Linked DNA regions of Oryctolagus cuniculus. The protein of the gene in region 2 purifies or fractionates together with the protein of the main gene of each other region. This does not show direct contact. Links are inferred from orthologs where the notes say so. Each region holds a gene or a part of one and is shown on either strand. Other genes may lie near its edges. The genes, in order: ARPC1A, ARPC4 and ACTR3B.

The links.
Region 1: the proteins of ARPC4 (region 2) and ARPC1A fractionate together in Homo sapiens (co-fractionation; 7 studies listed by BioGRID and IntAct, with this or other methods). This does not show direct contact. The link is inferred for Oryctolagus cuniculus from reciprocal best matches to the Homo sapiens genes ARPC4 and ARPC1A.
Region 3: the proteins of ARPC4 (region 2) and ACTR3B purify together in Homo sapiens (affinity purification with mass spectrometry; 5 studies listed by BioGRID and IntAct, counting the BioPlex papers as one, with this or other methods). This does not show direct contact. The link is inferred for Oryctolagus cuniculus from reciprocal best matches to the Homo sapiens genes ARPC4 and ACTR3B.

The regions. Positions count from the first base shown.
Region 1 is NC_091450.1:41,590,455-41,594,105, forward strand, and holds part of ARPC1A (actin-related protein 2/3 complex subunit 1A), read left to right. Parts: intron 1-149; coding exon 150-372; intron 373-3,651. UniProt on the Homo sapiens protein: Probably functions as a component of the Arp2/3 complex which is involved in regulation of actin polymerization and together with an activating nucleation-promoting factor (NPF) mediates the formation of branched actin networks.
Region 2 is NC_091441.1:116,915,661-116,919,311, forward strand, and holds part of ARPC4 (actin-related protein 2/3 complex subunit 4), read right to left. Parts: intron 2,159-3,651; coding exon 2,047-2,158; intron 649-2,046; coding exon 553-648; intron 1-552. UniProt on the Homo sapiens protein: Actin-binding component of the Arp2/3 complex, a multiprotein complex that mediates actin polymerization upon stimulation by nucleation-promoting factor (NPF).
Region 3 is NC_091438.1:21,038,210-21,041,031, forward strand, and holds the end of ACTR3B (actin-related protein 3B), read right to left. Parts: intron 2,209-2,822; coding exon 2,125-2,208; intron 1,494-2,124; coding exon 1,398-1,493; 3' UTR 562-1,397; downstream 1-561. UniProt on the Homo sapiens protein: Plays a role in the organization of the actin cytoskeleton.

The DNA.
Region 1 (3,651 bases), on a different chromosome or scaffold from region 2:
TGCTCTGGCCACCCTGCCTCCCGAGCCCCAGACCCTTGCGGAGAAACGTCCTTGCGTTTGTGTGAAGTGTGCCCCCCCGCCCCGGCCTGCCAATCACTGTCACACCGTCACTGCCTGGGCAAAGCACACAGCCTACGTCTCACTTGCAGGTATCGACTGGGCTCCCAAGAGCGACCGCATTGTCACCTGCGGGGCAGACCGCAACGCCTACGTGTGGAGTCAGAAGGACGGCGTCTGGAAGCCGACCCTGGTGATCCTGCGGATTAACCGCGCAGCGACTTTTGTGAAGTGGTCGCCCCTAGAAAACAAATTTGCTGTGGGAAGTGGAGCACGGCTCATTTCTGTTTGTTACTTCGAGTCTGAGAATGACTGGTAAGCAGTAGTGAAATGTTTTTTTTTGTTTGTTTGTTTGTTTTTTTTTTTTTTTTTTATAATTAATCTTTCTGAGAGGTACAATTGGGGATGGGGAGTAGGACAGGAAGACATCATCCATCCGCTGGTTCACTCTACAAACAGCTGCAATGGCCAGGGCTAGGCCAGGCCAAACCCAGGATCCCAGAACTCCATCCAAATCCCCGACATGAGTGGCAGGGGTCCAAGGACCTGGGCCATCTTCCATTGCTTTCCCAGGCACATTAGCAGGGGGAGCTGGATCAGAAGTGGAGCACCAGGAATCTAATCAGTGCTCAGATGGGATGCCAGCATTGCAGGCAGCTTAACCCACTGCCACATGCCAGCCCCACATTGGAACCTTTTACATTAGGGCTGCCGTGTTCGTCCTGCCTTCTTGAAGCCCTGGGCGAAGGTTTAACTGTAAGTCCAGCTTTTCTCATTAGCAGACTTTTTTTGTTCCCATTCTGTCTGAGCATCTTTCCTCCTTATGTGTACTTCGGGCTAAATCTCATCTCATTAATATAGAGGTACTGTTTCCACGCTCTGATCTCCTAACTTGTTTTGCAGGCTGCTCCTCCTCTTCTCCCTCTGTTCTGCCCAACTTGCTGTGTTCTTACTCTGGTATATACATCAAGCTTGAAAGAGGCTCAGTGATTTCCTTTCCCACTGTGTTTGTTCACTTAGAATACCTTGGATTTTACAGATAACTGTGTTCTCCTTTCCTTGAAGCTTATGTGCTGACCGAATCTGTGTCTTGGTATATGCAATATTTTACTTGCTGCTGCAGTACAAATTCACCAGAATCTTATAAGTATAAATCACTTGCAGCCGAGCCAATCAAAATACAAGGGTTTATTATGTGGCTACTTATTTTAACTACTCCCTCCTGCTTATTTTGATAGGAAAGCAACTCTGTTCTGCCTGGCACGTATTCAGAATGGTGGTAAATGTCCTTCAACATGGCATTGATTGTTAGTGCAGAAGTGGCCATGTTTGTGTACCAGGAAAAACAGCAGGGAACACATTTCACTCTCGTGGTCTCTCTCTGCGTTCTGCTGCAGCAGCGACGGGAAGGGACCATCGTGCTGCATTTCATAACTCAGAAAAACTGCAGAAATTTTTTATCCTTTGGAAAGAAAGTCAGTTTGCAACAAGATTGAATTATGAATTCAAGACACACATTTTGCTTCCGCATGTGTGTTAAAAATAAGGTTAGCGGAATGCTGCCTGTCAGAAATCACCTGGGAGCTTCATTGGCATGCACAGATAAGAAACAAACGTCGTTAATGTTCCTACATGGCTACACTTTACGGCAGCTAAGTCCCAGCAGTCTTAGGAATTTGTACAGAAAACCCTTCTCCTAGCTGGGCGTCCGACTCAGTACTTGTTTACATTTGTATTCACTGAGTGGTCTCAAATAGAGGAAAATCGGACTTCGCTTCGGTATAAGGTGTCATGTTCAGGGCGGTTTCTCAACTGTTGGACAATATTTCATTATCCAGTATTCAGAAGCCTGCAATTCAGTCACTTGAACTGATTGTTTTGCTTGCTACTCTTTTCCTTAAATAATTTTTTTTGAAAAACGGCATTATAAAACAATTCAGAATGTTGACTTTTTGACAATAAGCATTCTCAAGTTTGTAAGAAAAAGATTCCATAGAAATTTTATTCAGTATTAAGTGTCCAAACTTTTGAACAACTTGGCATGATTCGTTTTTAAACAGTAGTTTTGGGGCTGAAATTGAATTACGTAAGCCTAAATAGTGACTGATTGTAAACATAAATAATCTTTTCTGAATGGCACTGGGGAATTAGTTAGTGGCTAATACCCCCCAGAAAAATGTTCTTCTAATTTCTTGGTTGTGATTTCTTTGTGAAAAAATAAAAGAAGTTGCAGATCATGGAGACTTGTGAAGAAATTAAGCTCTCTTACAACCCAAAATGAAATAACAAATCACTGAATATTTATAATAAAATTTAAATAATTTCCTTTTTTAATTAGTTTATTTATTTGAACGACAGAGTTACAGAGAGAGATCTCCCATCCATTGGTTTACTCCCCAAATGGTAGCAATGGCCGGGGCTGTCACATGGATGGCAGGGACCCAGATACTTGGGCTCTCTTCCCCTGCTTTCCCAGGCTTGTTGGCAGGAAGCTGGATTGGAAGCACTCAGGCATTGCTCGAAGTGGCTCTCAGACAGGACGCCGGCATCACAGGTGGTGGCTTTAATCCGCTGTGCCAGGAGTCAGCTCCAAAGTTCAGAGAACTTCCAACTTTAACTTTTGTCCAGTGGTAACATTATATGTATTCTGAAATCCCAAGGGGAGAGCCAGAGTTAATCAGGTTCTTCTCCATCCTTTACCAGGAGACCTAGTGGCCAGCGAGGGAACCTTGCTAAGGCACTTTCACCGTGGCCAGTGGGCCCTGGCTGGGCTTAAGCCAGGCTCTTCCCTCCGCGTATGAAAGAATCCAAGGTGGAGGCGTAAAGGGGTACAGAAAGCAAGGTTTTTTAAAAAAGATTTATCTGTGTATTTGAAAGACAGAAATACAGAGAGAGGGAGAAACAGGGAGAAGTCTTTATCTGCTGGTTCACGCCCCAAATGGCCGCAATGACTGGGGCTTCCTCTGGGTCTCCCACATGGGTGCAAGGGCTTGAACACTTGGGCCATCTTGCACTGCTTTCCCAGGCACATTAGCAGGGAGCTGGATCAGAAGTGGAGCAGCCAGGACTTCAACCAGTGCCCACATGGGATGCTGGCACTGCAGGCGGCAGCTTTAGCAGCTACACCGTAGCAGGACTTACTTAAAGCAAAGGAAAAGTGCACACTCCAGAACTGAGTGCTGGCAAGCTTAAGAGAGAGAGAATACGAACAAAAAGCTCAACACAGAAGCCCCTCTCGAGATTCAAGCTGTTGGGGCCAGTGCTGTGGCGTAGCAGGTAAAGCCCCCGCCTGCATGTGGGTGCATGTGGGTGCCAGTTCGAGTCCTTGCTGCTCCACTTTCGATCCAGCTCTCTGCTGTGGCCTGGGAAAGCAGTGGAAAATGGCCCAAGTCCTTGGGTCCCAGTACCCATGTCGAGACCCTGTCTCCTGCCATCGGATTGGTGCAGCTCTGGCTGTTGTGGCCAACTGGGGAGTGAACCATCGGATGAAGGACCTCTCTCTCTCTCTGCCTCTCCTCTCTCTCTGTAACTCTGACTTTCAAATACATAAATAAATCTTTTTAAAAATTGCATATTTAAAAAAAAGATTCAAGC
Region 2 (3,651 bases):
GAGAGAAGGGGATTGGAAATCTTGTTACAGAAGAAGCCGACAAAACAGAGAACGTGTGCTCCAGAGACAAGACTCAGGAAGAGGATGGGATGGAGGCCTTCTACTACTGGGGAGAAGGGGCATCCAAGAGTATCGAAGAGAGAACCCGGCACAAGGCCAACTCTGTCTCGTGTCCGGGCCAGCACACGCTCAGTCACTGCGGCTATTCTAAGTCGACCTCCCAGGGAGTCGGGAGAGGCTTCCTGCACAGTCAGGCAACAGTGGGCCCAGCGTGAGCCGTGGCTCAGGGGCTGCACTGGAGCAGGTGGCGTGGCCTAGAGACTTCTGCCTCGCTGCGTTCTTTCTGCTGCCAGCCTGCAGGCTCCGGGCAAAGGAGCGGCATCTCCCCTCTTCTGAGCTGAGCTGGACCCGGCCCCTCCTAAGCTTCTGCCGCGCACTCCGCCTGGCTGAGACAGACACTCTCAACTCAGGCACTGGGCCCAGTCCTAGAAACCACCTCAGGCCCCGGAACAGAATCCCAGGGGTCAGAAACCCAGGAGCACGCAGCCTCACCTCCACTGGTTTCCTCCGAAGGATGAAGAAGTTCTCCGCTCGCATCATCATGAAACGCATGAACTTGTGGCACAGAATCTTCTCTATCTCGTCGGCCTGGTGAGGACAAAGGAGAAATGCGGTCTCTCCAGCTGAGTGCCCTAGGCTGCGAACCTGACAGCCTGGTCTTCTGACCCCCGTTTTCCCAAGCTCCCTGGAGGGTTTGGCACTGGGAGTGCTCACTCGGACAGGAGGGGGTACTGCAGGGTCTCCCCACCTTTGTGAGGGGTGCCTGTAATCCCACCACACCCATCCGAGAGAGGGAATTCTGGCTACACACAGCCGCTTCCCAGGCCCTCAGGGTGCACACCTACGTTCACAGCTGCCTTTCCTTCCTTGTTTCATGAGTGCTTCATCCCCGAGTGTGGCCAAGTGCCAGCGGGGATCAATCCCAGGTAGTACCTGTCCCGACAATCCTGGGTGGTACCTGTCTGCTTTAGTGACACTCAACATCCAACAATTCACGTTTCTCCCTTTTCAACTTTCTCTGTAAATCTAAAGCTCCAATTATGCCAATACTTGTTAATCTTCCACTTTCACAATGAGAACAGACTTGAGAGTTGGAGCTTTCTGCAGACAGTAGTATCCACTTGGAACGTAATAACATTGTTCGCTTTCACTGTGTTTCCTTCTATAGTTACCTTCTACTGCAGCAAGTGATACTGTTTTTCCACTTACGGCATAAAGTCTCTTTTCAAAAAATTTGAGTAAAAGAAAGCAACTCAATTTTTAAAGATCTATTAGGTGGGGGCCAGTGCTGTGGCGCACGGGGTTAAGCCGCCATCTACAGCCACCATCTCACATACAGGCACCGGTTCAAGTCTCAGCTGCTCCACTTCTGATCCATTGCTATGGCCTGGGAAAGCAGTAGTGCTTGGGCCCCTGTACCGACTTCTGAGATCTGGAGGAGGCTCTTGGTTCCTGGCTCAGGCCTGGTCCAGCCTCGGCTGCTGTAACCATTTGGGAATTGAACCAGCAGATGGAAGATTCTCTCTCTCTCTCTCTCTCTCTAGTTCTGACTCACAAAAAAATAAATCTAAAAATAAATAAATAAATAAAAAATTAGGTGAACAACCAGCCTAGTGGTATGGAGGTGATGGATAACAAACCACTGCCTGAGCAGACAGACGAGCGGCACTTTTTCTTTTTTAAGCCCAAGTCTCAGTTTCAGAGGCTGCTTTGCTGTGAAACCAGTACCAGTGCTGCTTACTTTCTCAAACCACATTCCTAAGGAACGGTTCCACGGCCTAACGCCAGACCGGCCCCACAGCCTGGGCTGCTGCGCTTCCTGCCTTCTAACCTAGACCAAGGCCTAGAAGACGGGTGTGGGTTGGGGTCTCTTTATCCTACTGACTGTGGAGTCTGGCAAATCGTCTTAAGGGTACATTCAAGGAAGCAGAGCCTGGGTCTCCTGCCCCGTCAGGCCACTGATCGCCCGGATGGGGACAGACTCACCTGCTTCACAGCAATGCTGACCCGCACGGAATTGATGGAGCCCTCGATCAGCACCCTCTCCTTCTCATTCCTGCTGATGGTAACTGGTTGCAACAGCAGCTCTTTGCTACTCCTGAAAACACAAAGTGGCAGAGACCTCTGTACTACAGAGGGACAGCACAGTGATGACCACGGCGGGTCCTGATCCTGAGCTGAGACCGCCGTCTAACACGGGAAGACTTACAAGCAGGCCTGCTCCAGGACAGGGTGAGGGGCATGTTCTCCAGCAGACAGCACAGGCTCCGGAGGCCGGGCCCAAGGGGCTGCAAACCCAGCCGTCCCTGCCCCTTCCTGGGCCAAGTCTCCCTGCTGCAATCTCAGTCCCCTTTCTGTAAAACCACTCTGATTGCTATTTCTGTCTGCCACACGGCAGGAACTCTAGAGCTAATGCGGACAGCTAGAGGTGACCAGCGTAGCACCGAGGGAGCGACCACAGCACTCGCCTCCGTCTGGCCTCCTTTCTTCATCAATCCAGAGTGATTCACTCGCTCGCCACCTGACCCCTGTCAGTTTAGGTCAAGTCTGCAGATATTCTGAACGGCAGTTAACCATGCTGGTGGGAGCTGTTACATCGTACGATGCCTGCACAGGGTCCAGACGCTGGCTAACACACCTGCATCCCACACAGGAGTCAGAACCCTGGCCCGGGCTCCCATTCCAGCTTTCAGCTGGTGCAGACCCCAGGAGGCAGCAGATGCCGATGACTCAAGTACTTGGGTCCCTTCCTCCCCTGTGGGGGACCAGATGGAGTTCCCAGCTCCTGGTTTGTGCCTGTCCCAGGCCTGGCTAACACAGCATTTGGAGACTGAACTATCAGATGGAAGATCTCCGTGCTTGTCTGTGTTGCCCTGCCTTTCAAAGAAAATAATTCAGGCCGGCGCCGCGGCTCACTAGGCTAATCCTCCGCCTAGCGGCGCCGGCACACCGGGTTCTAGTCCCGGTCGGGGCGCCGGATTCTGTCCCGGTTGCCCCTCTTCCAGGCCAGCCCTCTGCTGTGGCCAGGGAGTGCAGTGGAGGATGGCCCAGGTGCTTGGGCCCTGCACTCCATGGGAGACCAGGAAAAGCACCTGGCTCCTGGCTCCTGCCATCGGATCAGCGCGCTGCGCCGGCCGCAGCGCGCCGGCCGCGGCGGCCATTGGAGGGTGAACCAACGGCAAAGGAAGACCTTTCTCTCTGTCTCTCTCTCTCACTGTCCACTCTGCCTGTCAAAATAAAAAAAAAAAAAAAAAAAAAAAAGAAAATAATTCAAAAACAAACAAATGCTAGGATTAAACCTATATGTTCACAAACTTTGTTTTAAATGTTATTTGGGGGGCCGGTGCTGTGACGTAGTGGGTAAAGCCACTGACTATGGTGCCAGCATTCCACACAGACGCTGGTTTGGTTCGAGTCCCGGCTGCTCCACTTCCAATCCAGCTCCCTGCTTATATGCCTAGGAAAACAGTGGGGGATGACTCAGGTATTTGGCCCCTACACCCATGCAGGAGACCTGGAGGAAGCTCCTGGCTTTGGATCAGGCCGGCTCCGGCTGTTGCAGCCATTTGGGGGGGGTGAACCAATGGATGG
Region 3 (2,822 bases), on a different chromosome or scaffold from region 2:
TAGGAGACTCAGAAAAAGCTCCTGGCTTCAGCCTGACCCAGCCTTGGCTGTTGGCAGCCATTTGGGGAGTGAACCAGCAGATGGAAGATCTCTATCCTTTCTCGTTCTCTGTCTCCCTCTTTTGCTCTAACTCTTTCAAATAAAATAAATAAATCTTTAAAAAAATAAAATAAAAAAGCACAGGGGCCGGCGCTGTGGTGTAGCAGGTAGAGCCGCTGCCTGCAGTACTGGCATCTCATATGGGCACCAGTTCCAGTCCCACTGCTCCACTTCCGATCCAGCTCTCTGCTATGGCTGGGAAAGCAGTAGAAGATGGCCCAGGTCATTGGGCCCCTGCACCCACGTGGGAGACCCAGAAGAAGCTCCTGGCTCCTGACTTCGGATTGGCTTAGCTCCAGCCATTGCAGCCATTTGGGGAGTGAATCAGCAGATGAAAGACCTCTCTCCCTGTCTCTACTTCTCTCTGTAACTCTGTCCTTCAAATAAATAAAAATAAATCTTAAAAAAAAAAAAAAGGCAGAAAGCAGAACACCAAAGACCACCGCACTACAGAAAAAAAAATTTATAAAGATTCTAACAGCTTTTATTACAATAGTGCAAGGTAGTATTTCATCCAACACTCACCAAAACAAACCATCATCTTCTATAAAACAATTCCAGGAAATTCAAACAAAAAACTAAAGATACATTATCTATAATAATTCTCATACAATACTGTTTAGTGTTCAAACTTCATGTCACTCCAATAAAGTATAATCATTTTCTAGCAAACGTGGCAAACAAAGTTTGCTCTGTTTCTCTGTTTTATTGTCTGCCTATAAATATATCAGGACATGCCTCACAGTTAGAAACTTAAACTACAGCACTCCATGACATCAATATCTATTCGTGCTTAGGATCAGCCAGTTGTACCAAATACCATAAATACAAAATGATAGGAAATATAAACATCGATTTGTATTTCAAGTTTATAACATTTTATTTACAAAAATAGGCTGGGAGGAAAAGGGTTTACAACCCCCATCATTTCCTGGGGGTGAACGATTCCACACCATCTTCTAGTGTGTTTTCTCCCCTAACAATTTTTCCAGTCGCATCTGAATCCCTTCAGAACTGCATCTGTCAACTAGAAGCTCGGGTGGCGAGGAGGAGAGAAAATGGGGGGAGCAGGAAGTGGGGTGTGAGGGAGAAAGGAACGGGCATACAACAGTCGGCACATAAATAAATGGCTTGTACTGAAAAGACTCTGCACTGTGCCTCATGCACTGGGCAATGCACGCACACTGCTCGGACACCAACACCGGACGCTGTTATGTACAGAAACTGCACTCTTCTCTGGGTTCCGAAGGACACTTGCTCCCCAATATGGCACGATCGAACGATAATCCCGGCGGACACTAAGACATGACTCCGAAGACAGGGTTGTGACGGCAGATGCCAGGGCCGTACTCTTCATAGTCCTTCTTGGCATGGCAGACCTGAAAAAACTCCGGCTGCCAGAGGCAACAGTTAGAAGGAAACTTGACTAGTTCAGAAATAAACTATTAAGCGAACGAGAAGCTCTCCTTACCCTAGACTTCCTCTCTCTCCAAACCACTCTGATAGGATTCTGACCTCTCTGACACACTAGTTATCTCATTTTTTAAAGACGTATTCACCCTCTGTTTATCTAGAGCCCACTATATGCAGGCCCCATGCTGACAGGGTGTCAGTTACTAACAAATTTGAAAAATTAATTAGGAAAATCACTGGAATTAATAATTCAAGATTTATTTTTTATTTCACTTACTCATGTTATCTACAACCCCTAGCAAGAATACTTGCAAATTAGCTATGCAACTTAAGTGATCATTAAATTATGTCCAATCTTACAGAATTAAGTATGTGTCTATTTATAGCCACATAACTAGAACATGCACTATATAACCTTTCTAAACAATAGAGGATACATTAAATTCATGAAAAATGGAATTGAAAGCTTATTTGCTTACAAAAAATTTTTTTAATTCATGCAAGTTTTTCACAGCATGCATTTTGTATGAAGTTTTTGAAGATCTGTCCTATTTAGTCACACTTAACAGAGGCTGCAGAAATGAAATTATGCAACAACCTGAAAGGACTTACGGTGGAAGCCAGCATTGAGCCTCCAAACCACACGGCATAGCGCTGCATATGATGTGTTATCACCTGAACCTCCACAGGCTTAGGCTGGAAATAAAGTAATCTACGTTTAGTCCAAGGGTACACGTGAATTGTTATTCAAGTAATCTTTTGGCTAACAGGGTAGCATCCCTCCTGGGTCTTCCTTCCCTCTTAATGGCAGAAGGCCTCCCCCTCACATGTGCATTCTCCTGCAGTGGCACCAACTACACGCATGCTGCCTCTGCAAGGAACGTCCTCCCCGCCGGCCCCCATCGCTCCAGACCTGGGTGGTTCAAAGAAACGAGGCAGGCACAGCCCGCAGAGGGCACCTTCACACAACAAAGCCCTACAGTAAGTGAAAGACCCAAGCAACTACCCTCAATCATTTCTTTCTTTTCTTCTTCTCCTTCTTTTTTTTTTTTTTTTTTTTTTTTTTTTTTTTTTTTTTTTTTTGCCCAAATGAGATAGATGTTTTAGCACTGTAGAGATAATTCTGAGTCCCCACTTGGGCAGCACACACACTAAGAAACAGCTAGCCATTCCAAAAACACTGAAGGAACTGCCCCTTCCCAGCCAGCTGGCTCTGTCTCAGGGGGCTCGCTTCTTTGTTCCCACTTCCCCTACCAAGCACAATCTTGGTTAGATGTCTAACTAAAACCAGCAGTTTGTTAACTGGAGGA